Sus scrofa: one gene and its partners. The protein of the gene in region 1 interacts with the protein of each later gene in a pairwise test. Links are inferred from orthologs where the notes say so. Each region holds a gene or a part of one and is shown in the gene's direction. Other genes may lie near its edges. The genes, in order: CEP44, POP5, RNF8, ABI gene family member 3, SPERT, HYPM and TXLNA.

Region 1 (3,500 bases):
CTTTCAGGTGTCTTCCATCTGGGGCAGACCCTTTTGAGATTGAAGGATAGGTTTCCAGATGAATAATCAATGTGTAATTTGATAAAGGATGAGTATTTTTTGGCTGAAGTAAAATCTAGGGAATTATTTTTCCCCAATTCAGAATATGTTATATAAACAGAGTCTATGAAGATATTTATACTCTATGCCTTTATTAAAAATATTGACATTTAACTGTAGGTAAAAGGTTCTTATGTCAGTAACTTAAAAAAAAAAAAAAATGCCTGTTTTGCTCCAGGTAATGAGGACAAAATAAAAGGAATGTTAAGTATCTTGTATCCTTTCCCAACTAGAATTTTTCTAGTTGGGATTTTTTTTTTTTTTTTTTTTTTTTTTCATTTTTGGCTGCCCAGCAGCATATGGAGCTCCAGGGCCAGGGATCAGATCCAAGCCTCGGTGGAAGCAATGCTGGATCCTTAACCCACTGCACTGGGCCTGGGATTGAACCTGTATCCCAGCACTCCCAAGATGCCACTGATCCTGTTGCACCAAAATGGGAGCTGGTAAATAGGGATTTTCTTAGACTAATTTTTTTTTTTTAATCTTCACTGTGGATTAGGCATAAGTACTTACTAAATATGACTTACGTAACCGATTGCATTTTTTCAATCTTCTATGGTGGAGGTAGGTTGCAGCTGTGGCTTGGATTTAATCCCTAGCCTAAGAAGTTCCATATGCCAAGGGTACACCCGTTAAAAAAAAAAAAATTGTAATGAATCCTATGCATAGAGCTCTTGATTATCTGTATATGAGTAATTTGGTAACCTTTTAAAAGTAGCTTATTATGGAACATTTAAAACATTTACCAAAGTAGGCATTCCACAGTTCAGCTGTTTGTCAACTCTTTGCTCATCTTGTTCATCCTTCCTGTAACCGCTTTTCCCAACATCTTTTCCTCCAAATCCAAAACCTTTTGAAACAAGTCCTAGACATCGTTGAATAGATACTTCAACATTTTTGTAAAATACAAGAATCTTTTTAAGAATATGACCACAATTTTATCCTCACATAGAAAATAAAATTCTTAAAGTTTGTGATATTTGGTATATGCTGATGAGGTAGTTTCAACTTGCAGAAGTCTTAAGTGGAAAAATAGGACGTTTTTTGTTCTTTGTTTTTTCAAAATGCTACGTGTGTGTTTGAAATAATTGTGGAGGAGAACATGAAAGCCTCTCTGTTTTCCTCCGTACAGAAGAAAGCTGTGGTGATCCGCCACCTGTACAGTGAAGATGGTGTTAACATTCCTGAAGATCCATCAGCAGATGTTCATGAAGCATTTGATGTCTGTGACTTGAAGACTGCTGACCTCAAGATTCCTGAATTACAGGTTCCTGAGATTAACTGTGAGCAACAAGTAAGGATTTTGGACTTATTTAACAGATGTTGATATTTCTTCTGATAGACATGATTATTTCAGCATCTAATCTTTAGAACGTTTCTAGACTTTTTAATTATTGATCATGACATGCTACCTTTGTTACCATTACTTACGAATCAATGATCCTCACTGGATATAATCCAAAAGATTATTTATTCCTTATATTTGGGGTACTAGGTGAGTTTTTGTAGATAATGCAAAGAAGAATGACATAAGACTTCCTTGGTTTCAAATAATTCACAGTCTAGTGAGAGAGAGAGAAAGAGAGGGAGATGTACCACTTTGTTCAGTGAAGGTTCTTTACTACCTGTTCCCCATATTGATGAACGGGAAAAGTGGTGTACTCCTTATTGCCTTTTCATTTCCCTTTTAGGGCCCTTGCTGTCCTCTGCTCTCTCTCAGAACACCATTTCTATGACTTTATTGCCATAGACCCCATCATAGTTTCTAGTCTTTACTGCTGCTGCTAAAACTTCTTTTTCTGTCTTATGACTTCTGTACATCAGTATACAGTTGGCATTTATAAAAACTACAAGATGACCATTCAGCTTATTTCCTTTTTACAGCAAACTGAACAGTCTCAATGCACTGTCATTCTTGGTCACTTCCTCTTAGCTTTCTGCTAGATGTAATGAGAAGAAGGTAGTTGCAAGCTTTTTTCTTTTCTACCATCTGGTACTGTTCTATGAACTTGTATGTTAACTCATTTAATCTTTGCAAGACCCAAATGAAACTGGCACTCTTGTCCCTTTTTTTTTTAGATAAGGAAATTGAGGCATCGGGCATCTCATGTGAGCTAGGTTATGTATCTAAGAGGTCTGCCTCCAGAAATAGCACTCTCAGCTCTCTCGCTGTCCTGCCTGTTGTGGCTGTTGAAACAACACGGTGCAAATGGGAATACTTGAACTATGACAATTTCAGTTGGAATAATATTTTTAATCTTTCTCATCATTTTAGGATGTAAAAGTCAATCCTGAGATTACTGCACTACAGGTGATGCTTGCCGAATGCCAAGAAAAGCTTAGGAAACTGACTTGCCTAGAGAATAGATTAGACTCTTTGGAAACGAAAATGAAAGGGAAAGTGATGGTGAATGAAAAAACCTGGACCAATCTTCTAAGTCGTGTCACTCTTCTTGAAACAGAAATGCTTTTATCTAAAAAGGTATTTTCTTTCCATAACATTTTTGGAATATCTCAGATACAATTAAGTATTTCTTTAATTAATTTTTGTGTATCTTTTAGAATGATAAATGAGAGGGTATTTAGGTAGTGGGAAATATTTTGTTGTAATAAAGACCTCTTTAGGTACAGCCTATTTGGTGGTGGTTGTGGCTGTTGCTTTTCTCTTCATCAAATAAGATAAACTGACAGACTTGTTAAATTGAGCTTTTAGAACTGCTAATACTTGAAATACTTAAAAATGAGGTAAGATATTGTTTGTATGTATTTATAAAAAAGTCGAAATTACTTTATTCCTTTAATAGTACAAATGGCCTACTGTTACAAGGTGAAGAAAAAGTTGCCAGGGTAGGAAAAATTAAAATGATAACTTCCTTTCTCACTCATTTACTTCAAATTATAAATATTGTAGAAATAGTTACCATATTTGCCATTGCCTTATCAAATCTGAGAAACTTGTATCTTGATTTACTCAGAATGTCAATTTCTGCTCCTAGTCTGTCTATTCTTCCTAGAAAGTTAGTGAATTCAAAGTTTCTATCTCCTTCCACATTGAAAAGATCATTTTTATACATAGGAATTTTTTTTTTTGCTTTTAAATGAAAGTAATCAAAAATATTTAAACATTATGTCATCTTTATATTTAATCCTTAGCCATAAGAGTATAAAATGAGAACCATTTCTTTTTATTTTATTCTAATTAGTGAACTGTATTATTCCAGAATGACAACTATATAGAGTTTAATGAAATGAGTGAAGAGTATGCTTCTAGTAGCGACATGGATAGTCTCAATCCGGGTGAGTTCTTAGTGTATTGGTGTCAGTGATATTGGAAGGGCGTTTTCACAGAAATGATTTTCTAGTGTTTGATCATTTTAGTATCCTTAAGCCTTATTTTTTTT
Region 2 (4,276 bases), about 25 Mb from region 1:
AACTAAGTACTGGCTATAACAAGAAAATCTGGAATTAATTTAAATATCCATCATGGAAATATTGACTAGATCAGCAGTGGTACATCCAAACAATGCAGTCTGGGGCAACTGAAAAATAACTTTGTAGAACAGCTGGCATGAAAATATAGTCAAATGACAAGAATGAATCTTACAGACATTATGTTGAAAGAAAGGAGCCAGACATGCACGCACACACACACAAATATGCTGCTGGAGATTTACATTTATATAAAGTTCCAGAAGAGAAAAAGCTAATCTGTCATGACAGAAGTCAGAATATAGGCTACTTCTGGGAAGGTTTTTGGCTCGGAAGAGAGCACAGGAACCTTCCTGAGTGTTGGAAATGTTCTATCTCTTAATCTGGGCAGTGGTTGCAAAAGTTTATACATATATAAAAATTCATTGAGTTATGCACTTAATATGCATTTTATGTATGTTATGCCTCAGTTTTTAAAAAGATATTCAATGTGAGGGGAAAGAAGAGTAGTAAACAGTATGATCCTATTCTTAAAAAGAAAATGGAAAATATAAATTATCATACAGTGGAAGGTACATCTCGTACCTTTTTTGTCTCAGGGCCCCTTTCCATTCTTACTAAATTATTGAGGATCCCAAAGAGCTTTTGTTATGTGAAATATATTGATACTCACTATGTTTATTAAAACAGAAATGTTTAAAACACCATGCACAATTCTCTTAGCCATCAGAGCAATGTCAGCACATGTCACTGGCCTCTGGAAAACTTTACTGTCCACTCAGAAAGTGAAAACAGCAAGTAACACCTTAGTGTTACTACAAAAGTAATTTGACCTCGGGGGACTCCCTAAAAGAATCTGGGAAAATCCAGTGGTTCCTGGACTTCACCTGGAAAACCACTGGAACAGGGGTAAAATGTTGGAAGAAAATCCACTACATGATAAATTATTCTCTCTAGGTGCTGGGATTATAACTTATTTTTATTTGCTTCTTTGTGCTTTTCTGTTTAAAAACAAAAACAAAAAACAAACCAAAATAACCAGAAAATATAACGACCACGGATTGTTTTTGCAAAAAAACAAAAAAACAAACAAAAAAAAACAAGCCAATACACCCAACTCCATAAGGTTATTGAAAGGCCTAAACAGTAATAACATATTTGGCTGTATGGAGAAATTAAACCGAGCTCCAAACTGAGAATAAGAGTCCGATTTCCCCTATCAATCCCTGGCCTGGGGGGTGCAAGGTCTTGTGCTCAAATGTTCCACCGTCCAGCTTGGGTACTATGTTGCAAGGTAATGGAACGTCCTGGAGGTTCCAAATGCCTCAGCTGCATCCTAAACAGCAAACTCTGGCGTGGAGCACAACCACTCATCACAACGGGTTCAGTTGAAAGTCTAAGCGAAGAAATGAGCAGGACGCCTGCGCTCGGCAGAGGGAGGCGGAGCTCAAAGGAGACTGACACGGGGCTCCGCCTACATTCTAGTTCCGCCTCCCTCTCTGAGTGGCTGCCAGGCCAACTTCCCATTGGCCGCCGACGAGAAGGCAGACATCCGGTTTGAGTGTCTGGACGCCCGAGGCGGATACGAACATGGTGCGCTTCAAGCACAGGTAAGCAACCCTTATTCCTGTCCCTGCGGTCCTGGCCCCGGCCCAGCACTCACCGCCCTCTCGCCTGCCCCAGGTACCTGCTTTGCGAAGTGGTGTCTGAGGACCCCCGCTGCCGTCTGAATCTGGAGGACCGAGTGCTGGGCGGCCTAGTACGGGACACGATCGCGCGCGTGCACGGAACTTTCGGCGCGGCCGCCTCCTCCATCGGCTTCGCGGGTGCGAGGGTGTTGGGGAACCAGGAGGATGGCGGGATCTGGAGGGAGCAGTGGCCATTGGAGGGAGAAAGAAGGGGCACGGGCGACCTTGGAAGCTGCCAAGCCCTGTGCACCATTTTATGTAGGGTGTCGTCCTTTTTAGGAGTTTCAGAACCCGAGCCTGAGGTCTGCTTGAGTCCAAACTTAAGCGGAGAGCTAATACCAGTAGGCAGTGGGCAGAAAATACCAGTCGGCAGAAACCCCTATACTATTTGACGTGTGGTTTTTGATTGAGTTTAATAGGATGATGAAAACTAAATGAGGAAAGACTTGTATAGTTCCGAGTAAGTTATTTGACGGGTTACTTTGACATCATATGAAAAAAGCATTGTCAGAATTACCCCTGAAAAGCCCTGCATAGGGGCCTGTGAAGTACAGAATACACAGTTGTGTGTATGTGTAAATGCAAGAGAGGACCCTCCTCCACAACCACACTATGTAAATTCATTCCGTTTTTTACCATATGCTTGAAATTGAAATCTGGAGAAGGTAATGTACCTAGAGGCAACCCTTCTACCAAGGTGAGACTCGGTTGCTGGAAGAACCTACATAGCCCAGTTGCAGAACTTGTTTTTCAGCTAAGGGAAAACATCCTTCTGAAGAGTATGGATTTCTGCCACCCCCCTCCTTGGGTTAACTAGTTTGTGAATTAAAAGTGCATTTTAGGAGTTCCCTTTGTGGCTCAGCAGTTAAGGAACCTGACTAGGATACAGGAGGATGCATATTAGACCTCTGGCCTCTCTCAGTGGGTTAAGGACTCAAGGTTGCCCTGAGCTGTGTAGGTGGCAGAGGCAGCTTCGATCCCGAGTTGCTGTAGCTGTGACATAGGCCTGCAGCTTTAGCTGATTCAACCTCTAGCCTTGGAACTTCCATATGCCATGGGTGTGGCCCTAAAAAGCAAAAAATTAAATTCTAAATTCATTCACCAATTCTGAGTGGTATGTAAAGGCCCTAGATGTTATTTATCTCCCATTATTTTCCTTCAGAAATCAGTTTTTACTCATTGATGGCATCCCAAGTGCCACCGCCTTGAATGTTTTCTGGTACATAGGCTCTCAGTTACCTGAAGATTTTTTTTTTTTTTTGCTTTTTTTAGGGCTGCACCCACAGCATGTGGAGGTTCCCAGGCTAGGGGTCGAATCGAAGCTACAGCTGCCAGCTTACACCACAGCCACAGTCTACACCATAGCTCATGGCAACGCCAGTTCCTTAACCCACTGAGCAAGGCCAGGGATCGAACCAGCAACCTCATGGTTCCTAGTCAGATTTGTTTCCGCTACGCCATGACAGGAACTTCTACCCTAAGATTTTAAACGTGCTCCTGAGAATCCATTTTCCCAAAATGATTTTTTTCCTGCTGCAGTGCGATACCTCAATGCCTATACCGGAATAGTGCTACTTCGATGCCGGAAGGAATTCTATCGGCTCGTGTGGTCAGCTCTTCCCTTCATCACATACTTGGAGAACAAAGGACACCGTTATCCGTGTTTTTTTAACACCTTACACGTGGGAGGTAGGGGTGCATGTGTTATGGCTGCTGATTTTCAATAGGAAACAGGTTCAGAGTTCAGTCTTCAATAGTGGGTGGGTCCTCCTGCTACCTTGCCAAGAGCAAGATAATTTTTCCTAGCTCTGCAAGACTCTGAGGCAAACACCTTTTGCGAGCTGTTGACTGCAAAGCTCTTTCTTGTGTCAGGTACAATTAGAACATGTCAGAAGTTCCTCATTCAGTACAATAGGAGACAGCTGTTGATTTTGTTGCAGAACTGCACTGATGAAGGTAAGCCCTGCTAGCCCCGTGCCCACTGAGCAGTGACTGACCTCCTCCAGCTGAATGAGAGGTCACTTCCAGAGACTTTAATAATCCATGCTCTTTCTCCAGGAGAGCGGGAAGCTATCCAGAAGTCTGTTACAAGAAGCTGTTTACTAGAAGAGGAGTCCACTGGGGAGGAGCTTTCAGATAGTGGCGGTGAGGAGGCTGCTGAGACAATGGAGTGAACTTTTGCAGGCTGCGTTGCGCCTAAGCTTCAGGGCCTACTTGTTGGACAGGGAATTCTGGGAGGCACTAGCACCTTCTACAGTTCTCAAACTGGATGACTGCTGATCAGTGGCCAGTTACCAGCTCAAAATGAATTGACTTATTGTTTAAAACTTGCCGGAGTTCCCGTCGTGGCGCAGTGGTTAACGAATCCGACTAGGAACCATGAGGTTGCGGGTTCGGTCCCTGCCCTTGCTCAGTGGGTTAACGATCCGGCGTTGCCGTGAGCTGTGGTGTAGGTCGCAGACTCGGCTCGGATCCCTTGTTGCTGTGGCTCTGGCGTAGGCCGGTGGCTACAGCTCCGATTCGACCCCTAGCCTGGGAACCTCCATATGCCGCGGGAGCGGCCCAAGAAATAGCAACAACAACAAGACAA
Region 3 (3,500 bases), on another chromosome or scaffold:
ATTTCTCCCTGATTATTTCTTAAAAGCTATTCCCCATGCTGGTGGTCTCAGTTACTAGTTCTGGAGCGTTAGTTCCCAGAATCACCTGGGTGGCTTTTTTTTTTTTTTAATGCACATCCCTGGACCCCCCAAAGCCAAACCTATAGACTCAGACTCTCTGGAAGGCATTGTAAATTCTTCATTTGGTTTAAATGGCCACAGAGGTTGGGTTGTTTCCAGAGCCATTAATAGATTTGATGGCCTCCCTCCCTCTCTGCCTCTTCCCCTGGAAAAAGCAGCGTGTTAAATGAGAAGTCCTCAAGGAACAAGAGCAGTACTTTGAATTGCCAGTCCATTGATCTCTTGAACCAAAGCCGCTGACAAAGGGAGGGACAGTGACTAGGGGAGGGACAGGCATGTGTGGCTGAAAGGAACGGTACAGTGCAGCTCATCTTGAGTATGTATCTGCTGTGTTTCTGCAGCATCGGGCTCTGATGGAAGAGCTAAACCGCAGCAGGAAGGACTTTGAAGCAATCATTCAAGCCAAGAACAAAGAGCTGGAGCAGACCAAGGTACTGGAAAGAAGATGAAGGTTTAGAATTTGGTTAGTACATGCAACTCAGCATTTTCAACAGTGCAAGGGTTGCTGTGGTTTATGCAGGGAGAGATTATGGCTGTTTCCTGTCTCAGGGGAAATAATCTATAAACGTATTTAGGCCTGTAGACGGTTCTGCCTGTAAGACAGCATCTATTTCCTTGCCTCAGTCAGAAGCAAAATGCTGGGAATAAGACACCCTGCCATCTAGTCTAGTCCGTTGTCTGTGGTGGATGCCCCTTCAGAGCATGTCACTCACACAGGCTAAGGAGTGGTGCAGTTAGACTGAGAAAGAGTTCATCTTCACGCATTTATGGAATTACTTCCCATGTCCATTCAGTGGAACTCTTAAATCAGAGGTTGTAAACTCAAATGCCCCCTGAGGTCAGGCCGGCAACAAGTTAAGTGGCCTGGGAGAAAGAACACAGTGGGGAGCTGGGAGGCAGAGGCACACTGGAGAGGGGCACCACCCCACCCTCACCTCCACCCCAAGAGGGCAGCTCTTCTCTGCTGCAGCCAGTCCCTGCCTTCCCAGAATGCAAGCCCGGTGTTGTCAGAGCTGAGTTTCCCACAAAAGATGGAAATCCAAATGTTTAAGTGAAATATCCTGGTTTTCAAGGATTGGCAACAGTTCGGTTTTTTGATACCATGAGTGACAAATTGAATAAGCATGCAGACTGGGTCCAGTCCCCCGGCCACCACTTTGCAACCTCTGACCTGGAATTAGTGCCTGAGTCTGACCGCATCTCTCAGCCCACCCTGCCTCATGGGCAGACCTGTAGTGGAGGACAGAAAGGAGACACTCACTTTGCACCTGGGTCGATATTCGTATCCTCCCTGTAAGTCCCATGGGCCTTCTTCCCCAGCCTCCCAGAAACCAGCACATCTTTTTAAACATAGTAGTTCAAAAGTTTTCAGGAATCTTGACTCTAATTAGAAATGGATCCAGACCCTCTTTGCTGCCTTAAGCAGTCGGACAGTCTTACTTTGATTAGAAGAGAAAATAAAACATGAAAAATAAATCAACCACTCAATATACCCCAAATGGCTTTTCTTCTCCCCCTCAGGGGCTTCTGATCCTTTCTATTTTGTAATGATTTTTATTTTTCACGTTATAGCTGGTTTACAGGGTTCTTTCAATTTTCTACTGTACAGCAAGGTGACCCAGTTACACATACATGTATATATTCTTTTTTCTCACACTATCAGGCTCCATCATAAGTGACTAGATATAGTTCCCAGTGCTATACAGCAGGATCTCATTGCTTATCTGTTCCAAAGGCAATAGTTTGCATCTATTAACTTCAATTCCCAGCCCATCCCATTCCCTCCCCCTCCCCCTCGGCAACCACAAGTCTGGTTCTCCATGTCCGTGATCCTTCTGTTTTGGAGATGAAGTGCTAACTTAATGAATGTTGGCTTCAAGAGAGCACGCCTCTATCCTCCCTAAAATGTGTGTCCACAGACAAGAGGTCTGACCTCTTAGGGAAAGCCCAGGGAAATTGCACTGCAGGAGTGGGAAGTGACAAACATCATAGAGTGTGGGGCCTGAAGGTACTTCACGAGACCATCTCTCCAGCCTCCCGCCTGTAGGGAGCATGGGTATTATCCTTATTTTATAGGAGAGGCAGCTGCAAAGCATACAAGGGACCTTATACACTAATGCAAGCATCCTCCTTTATAGACTGTTCCCGTTTCTTTCTTTTTCAGTACGTTCTTGGTTTCTTGGGATGATTTTATGTCACCTCTGAACTGCAGTTTGCTATAGGATCTTAATGCCTTCTTCTGGTCTTGGGTGGTTGGTGGGGCTGGTATGTAAATTTTGGGAAGGAGACAGACTACGGTGCAAATACATACTGAAAAAGTGGAGAGAGAAAAAAGGCATGTGGTGCCCTGTATTAGAAAGCAGTCCTGAGAAACAGCATCCCTTGGGGAAAGAGTTTTAATCTCCTGTTGCTGCGCCAGGGTGAATTTTTAATTTAGACTCCTTCTGAGTCCTACTGTAGACTATTAACCCTGCTCCCTGTCCTGTTTTGCATTCTTATTGGTTTTCCCGAATGACAGATGGGGGATGTGTGTCTTTGCAGGAAGAGAAGGAGAAGGTGCAAGCACAGAAGGAGGAAGTTCTTAGCCACATGAATGACGTGCTAGAAAACGAGCTTCAGTGTATTATTTGCTCAGAATACTTCATTGAGGTAACCGTGAGCAGTGGCTCACACTTTCTCACTCTCCCAGCCCTGAAGGGAGCCTCGTCTACACCGGCTGCTTCTGCTACAGAGAAACATTCTGAAGAGATATTTCTTTCAGGAACTTACTATAGCTCTTTGACTTCAAAGTGACCTCTAGAAATGGCCACTTCTCATTTTTTTTTTTTTTTTTTTTTTTTTGCAGTCTTCTTTGCCTTCACTGTCTTTTTTTCTTATTTCATTTGTTCTTGTTGAGTCTCTGTTTGGTAGAATCAATATTTTGGCCTGTAATAAAGCCTTTATCTCTTTGTTGATGGGGAGAAAACAGCTTGATTTCAAAGAACCACTGAGAGCTGCCCCACCCTCTCCAGGTCAGAATGTCCCGTGTTTTCTACTTTTCTGACAACTGCGTGCTGTTGGATTTTGTGCCCAGTGTTTTGCCCCCATAGGTTTTTTTTGCCTCTAAGGAGCCACTTGATTCTGGTGGAATCCAGAATTGAATGGCATCAGAATTTTGAAGTATCAGAATAAAGCTGCTCAATAAAGCTGTTCTTTCTTTGCTCAGAATGGGCACAGTGCTGAGAGTGTCCATGCAGTGCAGGCTTTAAACAGAGGGGTAAATGTCATTGATGCAAGGTCACTGGGAATTCATTGGCCAAGTGGAGCATATTTCAGGGACTCTGAGCTCCTTATGAAAATGAAACACCTCCCCAAGGTTACCATTTGTTACACTCTTTTGT
Region 4 (2,847 bases), on another chromosome or scaffold:
CCCGTGGCCTATGGAGGTCCCAGGCTGGGGGTCTCATCAGAGCTGTAGCCACCAGCCTACACCAGAACCACAGCGGGATCCAAGCTGTGTCTGTGACCTACACCACAGCTCATCGCAACACCGGATCCTTAACCCACTGAGTGGAGTTAGGGATCGAACCTGCCACCTCATGGTTCCTCGTCAGATTCATTAACCACTGCGCCACGACGGGAAATTCAGCCCCCAACTCTTAATCCCCTCCTGGACACCTTCTGCAGCCTTCCTCCATGTCCAAACGCACATGCCAGGCTTTTTGAGCCCTCTTGTCTCTGTAGCTATGTCTCAGGGGTGGGCCTTGCTGCTCCATCAGACCAGGAATTCTGTGATGGCAGAACTTTTCTTTTTTTTTCTTTTTGATTTTTCCTTTTTTTTTTTTTTTTTTTTTTTTTAGAGCCGTACCCATGGCATAAAGAAGTTCCCAGGCTAGGGGTCTAATGGGAGCTGTAGGCACCAGCCACAGCCAAGTGGGATCTGAGCCGCATCTGCGACCTACACCTCAGCTTACGGCAACACCGGATCCTTAACCCACTGAGCAAGATCAGGGATAGAACCCAGAACCTCATGGTTCCCAGTCAGATTCGTTACCCACTGAGCCATGACCGGAACTCCCTGGCAGAACTTTTTTTCCCCTGAGTTCTCTCCTATACGACAGACAGTAGGCTCTCCCCATCACGGGGGCTGCATGGGACAGGAAAGAGGCAAATGGACCCAGTTTCCATCCTAACACAGGCAGTGACTTAGGAAAAATCCCAGACCCACAGTGCTTGCCTGGCAAGGTATCCTCAGCCCTGGCAGCACTGCCACTACCCCCCACCCTATCTAGCACACACGCCCTCCTCCTTCCTTCCTGGATCCTTGGCTGAGCCACTGCCCCATAAACCACCCGCACAGCTCCAGTTACACATCAGCCTGGCCTGTGTATCCTCCACAGGTTCCGTGTGGGTGTGTCTTTTCCTCTCACCCCAGCAGGCTGGAGGTCCCGCCCTCCCGGGGCTGCAGGTTTCTCCACAGAACATTCCAAGAGGAAGTTAATTCACTTCATAGTGTCCCCCCAAAGGGAGAGCTGCTCCAGCCACAATTCTCAGCCACCTCCGCATTGACCCGCTCTGCTCCCGAGCCAGCCCCGTCTCTTCCCTGCACCCCCAGGGATGCTGTGCTTTCCCTTTGCCTCTGGTTCCTGCTCAGCGAACAATAAATAACCCTTGTTCTCTTCCGCCAGGAAGTTGCTCCAAAGTAGCTCCATCCTCCCCTGGCCACTCTTTTCCCAAATGCTGTGTGGAATGGGGACAGACCTCCCTCTTTCTCTCTGGACTTCATGGCCTCCTCTGGTCCTCCCCCTCCCCCCCGCCAACATCTTAAAGGGCGAGGTGCTGGGCAGAGGCCATCTCACTGTCACCTCCAACCCTGTGTCTGTGTCGCAGATGGTGAACATGCATATGGAGAAGGTGGCCCGAAGGGAGATCGGTACTTTAGCCACTGTCCAGCGGCTGCCCCCCAGCCAGAAAATCATCGCCCCTGAGAGCCTACCTCCCCTGACGCCCTACTACAGGAAACCCCTCAACTTTGGTTGCCTGGATGACATTGGCCATGGGATCAAGGTAGAGAGGGGCCCCTCCTCTTTCTCTACAGCCCACCCTCTTCTGCCTCACCGATCTCTTCTCTCTAGAGCCTCAGCTCTCTTCCACGGCCATGTTCTTGTCCCCACCTGCGGCCTCTTTCCTTCCTCAGTCCCTGAAGCCATCATCCTAAGTTGCTGCCCCACCCCACAAGGCCTCCTTAAAGAGGAGACTCCGGGAGTTCCCATTGTGGCTCAGTGGTTAATGGATCCGACTAGAACCATGAGGTTGCAGGTTCGAACCCTGGCCTTGCTCAGTGGGTGAAGGATCCGGAGTTGCCATGAGCCGTTTTGTAGGTCACAGACAAGGGTCAGATCCTGCAACACTCCAGATGACACTAGAAGCTTCCTAGTATCTAAATGACCCCTTGATATCCTTTTCTTTCTTTCTTTTTCTTTTTTTTGGTTGTCTTTTTGCCTTTTCTTGAGCCGCTCTGGCGGCATATGGAGGTTCCCAGGCTAGGGGTCGAATTGGAGCTGCAGCCACTGGCTTACGCCAGAGCCACAGCAACGCAGGATCCGAGACGCGGCTGGGACCCACACCACAGCTCACGGGCAATGCCAGATGCTCAACCCACTGAGCAATGCCAGATGCTCAACCCACTGAGCGAGGGTGTGGATCGAACCCACACCCTCATGGTTCCTAGTCGGAATCATGGACCACTGCGCCGCGACGCGAACTCCGCCCCCACACCCCATATCCTTTAACACACCTTCTTCCCCCAAAGAGAAAGTACACTCCCTCCTTCAGTCACCAGCCCATTCTACCCATTGTCCAACCTCAGTTCTTCGTGCTTCAGCTCAAGTCCCTTTTGTCTTGTCCCTCCTGAAGGACAGCGGAAGACATCATTCCCCGTGCACCCTCTCTTGGGCAAACGCTGTCCGTCACACAGGTGCTCCCTGGCACGTGTGTTTGCACCTTGTCACTTGAACACTCCAAGGGTGCTGCCCCTCTCTGCCCCCAACTCCCCAAAGCCAGTGCCGCAGGCCGGCCAACAGGGGACGATTCTAAATGGGAGGTCCTTTCCCTACCACCTCCGCAGCCCCGCGCGGGGGTTGGGGTTTCTCAGGGTTGGGGACCAGCGAGCTGGGGGCTGCTGGGGGGAAAAGGGTGCGGCTCGGCAGAGGAGGAAGCGGCCTTCAGACCCAAGACCCAGGCAGCGGGTGAGGGGGGTGGGAAGAGGGGCTGGGAA
Region 5 (4,053 bases), on another chromosome or scaffold:
AGAAAAGGTGGTAGGTTTAGGCACCTCCACTCCAAAAACTTTCAGAAGGCTTTGCCATCAACTGTAAAATATCTTATCAGATATCACTTTCACATCCTTTCAGACTCAGATTTTCATAAAGTACATTATTAGCAAGAAGGGATAAGTGAGCAGTAGAAAGTCTTGTTTTCTGGGTGAGCATCTGAGGCCCAGAGAAGGGGCCGGGAAGCAGAAATCCATTTATTTTCTCTTTTCCGCAGCACTCGAGGCCAAATTTTACAAGAAAAAGAGATACCAGATGTGAAAGCCTAGAAATTCCAATCAATGTGGTTCTGCCTCAGGTAGGGATAATCACAGAAGGATGCAACCCTTCAGTTAGCCAGAATAACCCTCCCCTTTCAAAACTCTAGCCTGAGGACATGGAGCAGGCAGAGCCAGCAAGGCCTCCGATTCTAGTTGTAGGGCAGCTGCCAAGCCAGCAGTGTGGCTGGGGGAGGGCACTTAAGCCATTCTGAGTCTTGAATGGGGGGTGGGGAGGGAGCTTGTTAGGTGATCTGATAAGATCTTCCGGCCCTACCCCTTGAAATCTCTGTGACACTCTGAAATAAGCCAGTCTCTCCAAAATTAGATCTTTTGGCGTTGGCTGTTCTGCAACTTCTCTGGATTTCTGGCAGGTCCTGGGAGGTGGCTGGCAGACAATGAGATCTGAGACTTGGAATCAAAAACGCAAGACCTGGAGTTCCCATTGCGGCCCAGCACTAACAAACCCAAGTAGTATCCATGAGGACACGGGTTCGATCCCTGGCCTCATCCAGCGGGTTAAAGATCCGTTGTTGCTGTGAGCACTGGTGTGGGTCGCAGAGGAGGCTCGGATCTTATGTTGCTGTGGCTGTGGTGTAGGCCAGCGGCTACAGCTCCAATTCAACCCCTAGCCTGGGAACCTCCATATGCCGCCGGTGTGGCCATACAAAGAAAAACAAACAAACAAAAAACAAAACCAAAAAACATATGACTTGAACCCATGAGGAGACAACCTAGGACTCAGCCCAAGGGGTGCAGGGTCATCTGGGGGTGTCAGGAGAATTAAGACCTGCTTTTTGCCCAAGACAAGAGTATGGGGGGGCGGGGCTTGCAGGATTCCGAATGGAAGCCCGTGAATGGATGACGGGCTGGAGATTCTCAGCTCTCCGCCTGCTAAGCAGCCGTTTCCCTGGAGGGGTTCTCCTGATTGGATTGTTTCCATGGCTATGTCACAAAGGGGGGGCAGCCTTGCTTCTTCAGAGTCACCTAAGGCCCTGCTGGAAGATCATGGCTGTGCAGCCGGAGGGGCTGAAATGTAGGGCGGAGGAATCCAGCGTAGAGGTAGCCACCCAGAGAGCTCTGTCCAGGGCTGTGTAGGAACAGGACTGACTGCCCCTGGGCATCCTGGCCTTTCGGAGGACGTGAGGCACTGCTGCTGCGCACAAGTCCTGTGTCAGGTTCCGGACCCTCAGCAGGATGCTCCAGGCCGGCAGTCCTGGGTGGGGGAAGGGTGCGTCTCTAAGTTTAGATGAGATGTGGGCGCGTTCAGGTCCGGTTTGTTCAGGGTGGTGTGGCTGTAGTCTGTAAGTTTAGATGATCTGAACTGGGCCACCTCTAGGACTGTGAGGGACCAGTGTGCTGACTCGATCTCCCCAGAGGAGATTGTGCATGGCTGGCGGCGGGGCAAGGACCGATCTGCTTAACACGGCGGGGGTTGGGGGGGGAGAGAGGGAGATGCCCTGAGCACTGATGTGTGATGTGATCACGTGGTGGGCATGGGGCCAAGCAGCGTGAGGGAGACTGTGTAGGAATTGAAACCCAGAAGCCCCACTAGTAAGGCAGGGCTGGAGCTGGAGGCTTGAAACCAGGTCAGTGCCTCTTCCTCTGCTGTGCCCCCGGCTGGGCACAGGCCAGCTGCGTCTTCCCTGGCTTTTAGGACATGGTACCTCCCCTCCCCCCCATCTTTACTGCCTACCCCCGAGCTCCCTGCAGGTCTCTGCCACATTCTGCTTCCTTCTGAGACCAAGTCCATTCGTCGCAGCAGGGAACAGCCACAAGCAGCCCTGAGCCCTGCATTGCCAGAAAGCGCCTCTGGCCTCCTGGCTCCCAAACAAGCCGCCAGGCACGCATCTCAGTTACATTGCAGATGCCTATGGCTCACTGTTTGTTATCACCCTGTGGTCTTTTCAGGTCTTATTGATTTTCAGTTTTTCTTCCTCACATTAGGGACTTGTACTTTCTGAGCTCTTTCCCTCCAGCGCGTTAACCATCAGTGCCCAAGCTCTCTGCCCTCCTGGGTCCTTTTGTACATAACAATTCAGTTCGGGCGGAGGGGGGGGGTCGCAGTTCCCCAGTGAGCGCTCTCTGGGAACTTCCTAAAGGCACTGTTTACTGCCAGACCATTGATGCAGGACCTACACCAGGTCAGGATGCATTCTGACAGCGACCCCCTTCCACTCCTGCCGCCCCCCATCCCTCTCTGTTCCCTTGTCCCAGTCCCCTGGGTTTGGGTTTGTTCTTCAGAAGCTATGGACTCTGCCGACCATGCCTGCACCTCTGCCAGTTTGAATAAGCTTTAGGAAGAAGATGTCAGAAGATTCCGTGTTCAACAATTAGCAAAAATGAGCACAGAGGATGGCAGATGACATCTTTATCCTCTTTGCTGTTAATGTTATGATTCTATCAAGATCAATCACATTGACCTGTGAATTATCCTCTTATCTGCTGGCATTTATGAAAACCAACATTGACTTTCTCATGGCACTCGGGAGCAGAGTTAATTTAAAAATATGATAATGAGGCTCAGGCTTATCACCTGGTCTGAAAATTAGTGGCGTGGCTGGTCTTTCCTTCCAGCATCCTGGGGCCTCTCAGCTTCACACGCCTGAAAGGGAACCTCCGGTGGCTGAATGTTCTGTGATTGTAACCCTCAGTGACGCTGCCAAAGCAGGGCTTTAATGGACTTGGTCGGAGTTCCCAGTGTGGTGCAGGGGAAACAAATCTGACTAGGAACCATGAGGTTGTGGGTTCGATCCCTGGCCTTGCTCAGTGGGTTAAGGATCTGGTGCTGCCGTGAGCTGTGGTGTATGTTGTAGATGGCGTTGCTGTAGCTGTGGTGTAGGCCGGCAGCTACAGCTCTGGTTAGACCCCTAGCCTGGGAACCTCCATATGCCACAGGTGCAGGCCTAAGAAGACAAAACAAAAAAAACAAAACACGAGATGCTGGGGAGAAGGACAGGCCTGATGCTAAGGACAGATCCCCAACCACAGGGGGGATTTAGGCATCTGTGCGGGAGATGTTGGTGCCCAGAGCCCTTCCTGGGCCCTCAGCATGAATGCATCCTACTTATGTCACAGCTGGGAGCACATTGCTCTGAGGCCAACCTGTTTGGTTGCCTGGCTAATAAAGCCTTTGGAAAGAACCCCACAGCTATGAGTCTTCCCCTCCTGCATCCTGCATCCTTCTTTGCATCCCCTTCTTCCACGGGGAATCCCACCTTTTCCTCTCCCACCTCCTGGGTCTGCATCCACATGCCAGGGCACTGCCCACAGATCAGGGAGGAGACCAATCCTTTTCTTCATGGGAAACCTGGCCAGGCTGCTCTGGGCGCTGGGATCACTCTGGAACTTTCCGGGTGTTCCAGGAGCTTTTTATGGGCACGAACCCCTTGTTGTGAAATGTGTGGTCCTAATTCCCAGGACTGGGAACGTCAAAAAAACCTAAGGCATGGGTCACTGTCCCTAGAGAATTATATTTTATTCATCCGGGGAGAAGATGGGATGGGACATAGGAGAACCACTGCAAAGTAATGATAGCAACACACATGCATAATAAAATATCTGGACATTGCGAAGCGCTAGAATGAGCATGCAGTTTGGAGTCAGATATCCTGGTTTTAAACCCTTGCTGGCTGTGTGATCTCAGGTAGAAACACAGTAGCTCCTTTCAGTAAGATATTGCCTATAAATATGGAAATCAATTAGCACACCATCACATAGTAGTCATTCAGTAAGTGTTATTCCCTTTTCCTTGTTCCATACAGTATAAGGAAA
Region 6 (2,844 bases), on another chromosome or scaffold:
ATTAGATTTTCCAGGAGGGGTTTGTGAATCAGCCTCTTGTTTAAGGACATGAATCCCCAAGACATACATGGGCGACTGCAAGATTTTTGAGTCCATTAAATAGGCAGAAACAATGTCGTCGCTAACTGAAAGGATAGAGAAAAGATGACATGAAAGAGGCTATGGGACTCCCAAAATGTCATAAGCGGAAACAGGCTGATAAAACTACTCAGCTGCAAACATATTCACCATTCAAAAGAAAAGAAAGATGATTTTGAGGGCAGAGCTATGGTCCCAGATGAAATCATGGCATTAGAGGGAGGCGCCTCAAGCCACAAAAGATCATTCTCAGGACTTGATAGCTGAGGAGGTTTGCCTGCTTGGATGCTGAAATTGCTTGAATCCGAGTTCTTTCTGCCTTCTACTTTCTCTTTTGGGAGAGCAATGTCTGTAACTCTTATCAGCAGCAAATGAAGCAAAAACAAGGCAGTAAACACAAAATTAGTGGAGAGGAAAATGAAAATAAGAAAAAAGTGAGAAGAAACAACACTTGGTGTCTTGGCCTCACTTAGGACAGGCAAGAAAAGACACATCTGGGCTGAAACTGGGCACCCAGTACAGCTTTTGCCCTCTCTACAATATTGTCCTGCTTCTTACAGCTAAATCCATTGAGTATCTCATTGGAACTTCCCAAATGGTCAAAAGATGTTTTTCAAACTGTGCAAAATCAAGACACTCATAATAGACATGAGGTGAACATGGGTTAAAAGATTCCATTTTGCTCAGTGAGGGAAAGGGAACATGTTATAACTCGTTCAAAAGAGAATCCAAGTGGATGGGGTCCCGCTGTATAGCACAGGGAACTGTATCTCTAAGCACTTGTGGTGATGGAACACGATGGAGGATAATGTGAGAAAATGAATGTGTGTGTGCGCGCGCGTATGTTTGTATGTATGTATATGTAAGATATATAAAACTGGGTCACTGTGCGGTTTAGTAGAAATTGACAACATTGTAAACCAATTACAATATTTTTTTTTCTTTTTTCTTTTTTTTTTCTTTTGTCTTTTTAGGGCCGCTGGGTGCGGCATATGGAGGTTCCCAGGCTAGGGGTCTAATCGGAGCTACAGCTGCTGGTCTATACCACAGCCACCACAACATGGGATCCGAGCCGCATCTGCAACCTACACCACAGCTCATGGCAACGCCGGATCCTTAACCCACTGAGCAAGGGCAGGGATCGAACCCGCAACCTCGTGGTTCCTAGTCGGATTCGTTTCTGCTGCGCCATGGTGGGAACTCCCAATTAAAATAAATTAAAAAAAATTTTTTTTAAAAAAAGAATCCAAACATTAGATACAGGAGTATTGATCAAGAATATTTAAATTGTATTTGGGAAATAACTATTAAAAATAATAATTATAACATTTAAAAGAAAAGAATATTTAAATGAATGTGTAAGCAAAACTAGTTTCATGACATCATGAGAGGGGGGACAGTTTCACCTCTTCTAGGCAGTACATTTACTATGTTTCTCACCAACCTCCCACTAACAAAAGGTTATAAAAACCTTCAAAGACATTACAAGGCTAGAGTCGGAAAATGTGGTATGGTGTCCGAAAGATAGAGACAAGTTTGCCATTGAAATATACAGTTATTTCTACAACGTTAAGGTCAGGGGCAGTTCCCTCCATATGAGGGTCCAGTCAGAGTCCTGTCATGGACATGTCTTGGCTGAGGCTCAGTTAAGGCACAATGGAAACCAGTGATGTCCCAAAGTCTAGGATGTCACAAAGGGACTAGACCATAGCTATATCATGTGCAGGGCTGAATGCGGGTGTCTCAAGAGGTCCAGTCCAGCAGGAACATCAAGCAGAGCTGATTGAAGCCGAAGCCAGCAAAGATCATGTCAGGAAAACAAAGCCCCGAGGGCTCTTATGAGGCTCCAACTCATCTTACAACAACCGAGCCACAGGTCCCTGTGAGCTTCGTGGACCATCTTCTGCAGGAAGATCAGTATGTCCACACTCTGAGTTCATCCACAACACATTTCCTCTTCTCCGTGCTCGAATACCTTACCGACTACATCCTGGATCTGGTAGACACTAAGGCCAACACCGGCAGGATGCAGATGACCCCACAAGACGTGGAGAGGGCAGTGGACAGCAACGCAGAGCCCCATCGGCAGGTGAAGGATACAGCTTTTGCTCTGTTTGATGAAATGCCTGGATCCCGAAGGAATGGCTGAAACATGGGTCCTAGAGCCTGGCAGGAGCCCTCACAGCCTCAGCCTAAGGCAGATCTCAGCTGAGGAGCCCAGCTTCTGTCATCAGTAAATGTTAACGGATTTAGATCCCTGGCTGCACCTCAGATGCCTGTCCGTTTCTGTCACGTGTCGTTGAGGCGTCCGCGGGACCCCCAGGAGGGGCTCGGGGTGCGGGTGAGGGGCCGGGAGGTGTGAGTGCGGGATGCCGGGATCTCGGGGAGCCGTTTCCCAGGGCGACGGGGCGGGGCGTGGTCCTGGTGGGCGGGGCTGGCCGAGGCTGTGGGGGGCGAGGCCCTCCTTCCTCCGTGGCTCTGAGGGCGCCCGGGCCTGGGAGGCCGGGGTGGGCAGGGCCCCCGAGGATGCTGAGTTCCCAGAATGGCGGTGGTGACGGGGGAGGGGCTGCAAAGCAGGACCGAGGACCTGAAAGCTTCATTCCTGCTGCAGCAGGTCTACAAGTAGGCGACGATGGCAGTGGGCTGGGTGGAGAGGGTGGCAGAGCCCTTGGCGTGAACTTTGTTCGTGACTGTCTTTTGATTATGATGGGGATTTTCTCAGGAGAGAGTGGCAGAGCAGTTGGCATGAACTTAGTTCAAGGGGGA
Region 7 (3,962 bases), on another chromosome or scaffold:
CTAGCATCCATGAGGACACAGGTTCGATCCCTGGCCTCACTCAGTGGGTTAAGAATCTGGCATTGCCATGAGTTGCAGCGTAGGTCACAGATGTGGCTCGGGTCTGGCGTTGCTATGGCTGTGGTGCAGGCTGGCAGCCACTGCTCTGATTAGACCCCTAGCCTGGGAACTTCCATATGCCGCAGGTGCAGCCCTTAAAAAAAAAAAAAAAAAAAAAAAAAATCCAAGCACATAGGTTGCTGTGTTTTATTCTGTTGTCTACAGACAAATGGAAAAAGAATTGTGATTTCACATTTTGAGAAAAGCTTGGCTATTTTTCCCCTTTAGCACCAGTGCAACTGGGACTTGGTAGGAGTGGGCCAAAGAAAAGGCTCAGGAATCTGCTGAAACCAAACTTCCCCTTACAGGGCCTCAGCACCTTCCAAAGAGGGACTCAAGGTGGAAATGGGGATGGGAAATTAAGTATTTACTTTTCCAAGTTACCTTGACTCACCCTCAAGGAAAGCGCATCATGGTGATTATTTCTTCCTGAGTAAGAAGCAGGGTAGTCCAGTAGTTGAGATGGGTGCCAGACTTCCTGGCTTTGAAACTGCTCTAATCAGTCAATAGCTATGTGACCTTGGACAATCACCTAACAGGTGTAAATTGAGAGTAACAAATACTACAGTATTTATCTGGAGTAGTTACTGGGAAAGCTAGCATTCAAAGAACTACTGTTATTAAAATTTTCTATAGGAATACGGAAATCGAGGCTCTGGGAATGAAAAGAATGCCCGGTCACATAACAAATTAGTGATGAAATTAGGACTGGAAGGAATACAGATCTGATGTCCAGCACCGTATTTTATCCCTCGTCCTCAGAGTTCCTAGATAGTCACAGATATCCTCAGCAGGAGGGAAGGACGGGGTTGAGGTGTGCGGGGAAAAAGCAGCCAGGCGCAAGGCTCTGGGAGCTGAATCATAACTTCTGCGTGATGGAAAGGAGGTTGACGTGAGTACCAGTGCAGAATGACTGGCTGCTTTCGGACCTCCTGGGTCTGGGCTCCAAGAACGAAAGCCCTGTTGCAGCTTGGGAGTCGGGATCAGCCCGGTGCATGGAGGGACATGTAGTCCTTTCTGTCCCTCCACCCCCCCACTCCGCCTTCCCAACTCACCCGCCTCAGAGGCCGCCTTCGCTTCAACTTTCCCAGCAAGCCCCGCGAGAGCGCGGGCTATTGATTGGCCGCGGCGCGAGCAGGCGGCTCTGCCGGCAGCAGTTACCCAGGGTTTCCGGTGAGAGGCCAGAGCAGGAGAAGCCGTCGGGACGTCGGCGGTGGGGTGCGTATTGCGTCGGTTAGGGGTACAAGGCAAGCAGAGGGCCCGGGGCCCGACGCCTTCGGACGGTTCAGGGAATTACGCCGATTCCGCACGAGGACTCGGGCTGGAGTGCAGGGGCCGAGGCCTGTGCGCATGCGCGGGCGGAGCGCGCGGCTGGAGGGCGCGCGGGGCGTGGGTGGCTGCGCGCGCGCGCGGGGGGGTGGGCACACGTGGGGCCTGGGGGGCGGGGAGGAACCGGGAATCCAGCGTCCCGCCACGTCAGTCCCTGGGCCTGAGCCTGTCCGGCGCACGGGCTGTGGTGAGAGGGCTGGGTTGTGCCGGGGAAGTAGCTTCGGGGAAAAAGGAGGCCTCCTCTCCCCTGCTGTTGGGCACACCAGACTTCCCTGACCGACCAGAGATAGGGAGCCCCACTGGCTCCCATCCGAGGAAGGCCGGTCGGTTTAAGAAGCTTTGCGGGTCCGGTGTGGAGATATCAGATCCAGGCTGCGAAGAATTGTTTAAAGTCTGGAAAATAGCAAGTGTATTTGTTTCTATAGGTTCTGCTCATAACCTAACGTTGCAAACAACAATGAAGAACCAAGACAAAAAGAATGGGGCTGCCAAGCAATCTGGCCACACTTCCAACCCCAAAAACACCCCGGGGCAACCGGAAGCAGGACCAGAGGGAGGCCAGGGGCGGCCCAGCCAGTCTGCTCCCACGACAGAAGCTGAAGGTTCCACCAGCCAGGCTCCAGGGAAGGCTGAGGGTGTGTGCCAGCTCTGCTTTTCCAATGGGCAGGGGGAGGAGTTTATGGTGCGTCAGTCTAGCTTCTGGGGTTAGAAGCCAAGGCCACTGTTTATCCAGAAGGGAGGAAATGTAGAATGAGGGGAGGACACCACTGAGTCCTTGAGTGCCCACTCTGCGCTGGGGAGTTGATAGAGCCTCCCACCCTAAGCACAGGGACAGAACTCTCCTGAGAGAAGCTTCTGACAGGATTAAGTCAGGTTGGCAGTCAAATGAGGCACCCAACCAGCAAATCAAAAACACCACTTTCAGCAGTGGGTAACTGCTATTCCTATTTGAGGCATTTCTGGAACTTTTTTTTTTTTTTCTTTTTTTTCTGTTTCTTAGGGCCCCACCCTAGGCATATGGAGGTGCCCAGGCTCAAGTCGAATTGGAGCTACAGCTGCCAGCCTGCACCACAGTCACAGCAACACAGGATCCCTCACCTACTAAGTGAGGCCAAGGGTCGAACCTGAGTCTTCATGAATACTAGTCAGATTCGTTTCTGCTGCACCACAACGGGAACTCTTGGAACTTTTTTAATAGCAAGAAGTGACATTTGCAGGTGGACTAGACCTTGAGTTCCTGCTACATGATGCCACCTCTGTGTTGGGTGGTCTCCTTACTTGATTTCTCTTATAACAAGCATGGTTGGGCAGAGGTGAGAAATAGTTTTATCAGTAATAAAACTGAGGTTTAAAGAAGTTAGGTAACATTTAACCCAAACTAGTAAGTTTGGGCCTGAAAAAATCCCAGCCAGTGGCATAATGGTCTTATTTCTGACTCTGCCCCTCATCCCTCCTGCTGCAGGAGCACAAGCCAAAACTGGGGCCCTCCGTGATGTCTCAGAGGAGTTGAGCCGCCAATTGGAAGACATCCTCAGTACATACTGTATAGACAACAATCAGGGGGGCCCAGGCGAAGATGGGGCACAGGGTGAGCCTGGTGAACCTGAAGATGCAGAGAAGTCCCGGACCTATGCCTCAAGGAATGGGGAGCCTGAGCCAGAGACCCCAGTAGTCAATGGTGAGAAGGAGCCCTCCAAGGGGGAGCCGGGCGCAGACGAGATCCGGGCAAGTGACGAGGTCGTAGACCGAGACCACCGAAGGCCCCAGGAAAAGAAGAAAGCCAAAGGTCTAGGTGAGCAGAGGGCAGCTGCTTATGAGGCTGGTGAGGGGAGGGAGTTTGAATCTGACATTCCTGGGTTAGCCTGCTGTGCCAGGATTTGGAGGAAACACTACTTCCAGAGCAGCTACTTACTTTTTGTTTTTGTTTTTTCTAATGTTTTTTTCATTCAGCGGGTTTATTACATTTATACCTGTACAACCATCATCACAACCTGATTTGAGAACATTTTCAACCTACATAGTTTAATGAGAGCAGGGGCTGCAGGACCATAGCATAGAGACGTGCAGGTTCACTGCACAAGGGCTTCTAGCCTGGGAGCAAGCGGGAACCGAAGTCTAACCTGCTCTCTTTGAGAAGATGGAAAGAAGGAGGCCTGAGTGGTCAGTCCTCTTCAGCCAGCACCACTTCTAACTTGCTGTGTGACCTTGGGCGAGACCTTTCTCCTCTCTGGTCCTTGGTTTTCACTTCTCTACACAATAAGAGAATTGGATTAGATGAGGTTGAAAACTCAAATAAAGCCAAGCTAGCCAGAGGCACCCATGAGGACCAAGAGAATGCCTGCTTTATTCAAAGGCTTGACTGCCACCTGGCCCCAGGTGAGACGATAGCATGGAAAACTACAGGCTAACTGTAGCTGGCATTTGTTTTTTGTTTTCTGTTTGGTTTTTTTTTTTTTTTTTTTTTTGTCTTTTGTCTTTTTGTTGTTGTTGTTGCTGCTATTTCTTGGGCCGCTCCCACGGCATATGGAGATTCC

Evidence for each region.
Region 2: the proteins of CEP44 (region 1) and POP5 interact in binary tests that used the Homo sapiens proteins (3 or more experiments, as listed by UniProt). The two-hybrid records come from large-scale screens. The link is inferred for Sus scrofa from reciprocal best matches to the Homo sapiens genes CEP44 and POP5.
Region 3: the proteins of CEP44 (region 1) and RNF8 interact in binary tests that used the Homo sapiens proteins (3 or more experiments, as listed by UniProt). The two-hybrid records come from large-scale screens. The link is inferred for Sus scrofa from reciprocal best matches to the Homo sapiens genes CEP44 and RNF8.
Region 4: the proteins of CEP44 (region 1) and ABI gene family member 3 interact in binary tests that used the Homo sapiens proteins (3 or more experiments, as listed by UniProt). The two-hybrid records come from large-scale screens. The link is inferred for Sus scrofa from reciprocal best matches to the Homo sapiens genes CEP44 and ABI3.
Region 5: the proteins of CEP44 (region 1) and SPERT interact in binary tests that used the Homo sapiens proteins (3 or more experiments, as listed by UniProt). The two-hybrid records come from large-scale screens. The link is inferred for Sus scrofa from reciprocal best matches to the Homo sapiens genes CEP44 and CBY2.
Region 6: the proteins of CEP44 (region 1) and HYPM interact in binary tests that used the Homo sapiens proteins (3 or more experiments, as listed by UniProt). The two-hybrid records come from large-scale screens. The link is inferred for Sus scrofa from reciprocal best matches to the Homo sapiens genes CEP44 and H2AP.
Region 7: the proteins of CEP44 (region 1) and TXLNA interact in binary tests that used the Homo sapiens proteins (3 or more experiments, as listed by UniProt). The two-hybrid records come from large-scale screens. The link is inferred for Sus scrofa from reciprocal best matches to the Homo sapiens genes CEP44 and TXLNA.

Annotation. Positions count from the first base shown.
Region 1 is NC_010456.5:15,883,600-15,887,099, reverse strand, and holds part of CEP44 (centrosomal protein of 44 kDa), read left to right. Parts: intron 1-1,231; coding exon 1,232-1,393; intron 1,394-2,374; coding exon 2,375-2,581; intron 2,582-3,320; coding exon 3,321-3,396; intron 3,397-3,500. UniProt on the Homo sapiens protein: Centriole-enriched microtubule-binding protein involved in centriole biogenesis. In collaboration with CEP295 and POC1B, is required for the centriole-to-centrosome conversion by ensuring the formation of bona fide centriole wall.
Region 2 is NC_010456.5:40,523,135-40,527,410, reverse strand, and holds the start of POP5 (ribonuclease P/MRP protein subunit POP5), read left to right. Parts: upstream 1-1,476; 5' UTR 1,477-1,588; coding exon 1,589-1,608; intron 1,609-1,681; coding exon 1,682-1,824; intron 1,825-3,225; coding exon 3,226-3,375; intron 3,376-3,558; coding exon 3,559-3,642; intron 3,643-3,744; coding exon 3,745-3,860; 3' UTR 3,861-4,276. UniProt on the Homo sapiens protein: Component of ribonuclease P, a protein complex that generates mature tRNA molecules by cleaving their 5'-ends. Also a component of the MRP ribonuclease complex, which cleaves pre-rRNA sequences.
Region 3 is NC_010449.5:32,955,812-32,959,311, forward strand, and holds part of RNF8 (E3 ubiquitin-protein ligase RNF8), read left to right. Parts: intron 1-461; coding exon 462-551; intron 552-2,661; coding exon 2,662-2,769; intron 2,770-3,500. UniProt on the Homo sapiens protein: E3 ubiquitin-protein ligase that plays a key role in DNA damage signaling via 2 distinct roles: by mediating the 'Lys-63'-linked ubiquitination of histones H2A and H2AX and promoting the recruitment of DNA repair proteins at double-strand breaks (DSBs) sites, and by catalyzing 'Lys-48'-linked ubiquitination to remove target proteins from DNA damage sites.
Region 4 is NC_010454.4:25,436,116-25,438,962, forward strand, and holds part of ABI gene family member 3, read left to right. Parts: intron 1-1,460; coding exon 1,461-1,637; intron 1,638-2,847. UniProt on the Homo sapiens protein: May inhibit tumor metastasis. In vitro, reduces cell motility.
Region 5 is NC_010453.5:21,617,903-21,621,955, reverse strand, and holds the start of SPERT (spermatid-associated protein), read left to right. Parts: upstream 1-1,253; 5' UTR 1,254-1,287; coding exon 1,288-1,341; intron 1,342-4,053.
Region 6 is NC_010461.5:33,887,947-33,890,790, forward strand, and holds HYPM (huntingtin-interacting protein M), read left to right. Parts: upstream 1-1,286; 5' UTR 1,287-1,885; coding exon 1,886-2,227; 3' UTR 2,228-2,344; downstream 2,345-2,844.
Region 7 is NC_010448.4:88,658,889-88,662,850, forward strand, and holds the start of TXLNA (alpha-taxilin), read left to right. Parts: upstream 1-1,162; 5' UTR 1,163-1,317; intron 1,318-1,548; exon of another isoform or gene 1,549-1,615; intron 1,616-1,853; 5' UTR 1,854-1,885; coding exon 1,886-2,063; intron 2,064-2,890; coding exon 2,891-3,220; intron 3,221-3,962. UniProt on the Homo sapiens protein: May be involved in intracellular vesicle traffic and potentially in calcium-dependent exocytosis in neuroendocrine cells.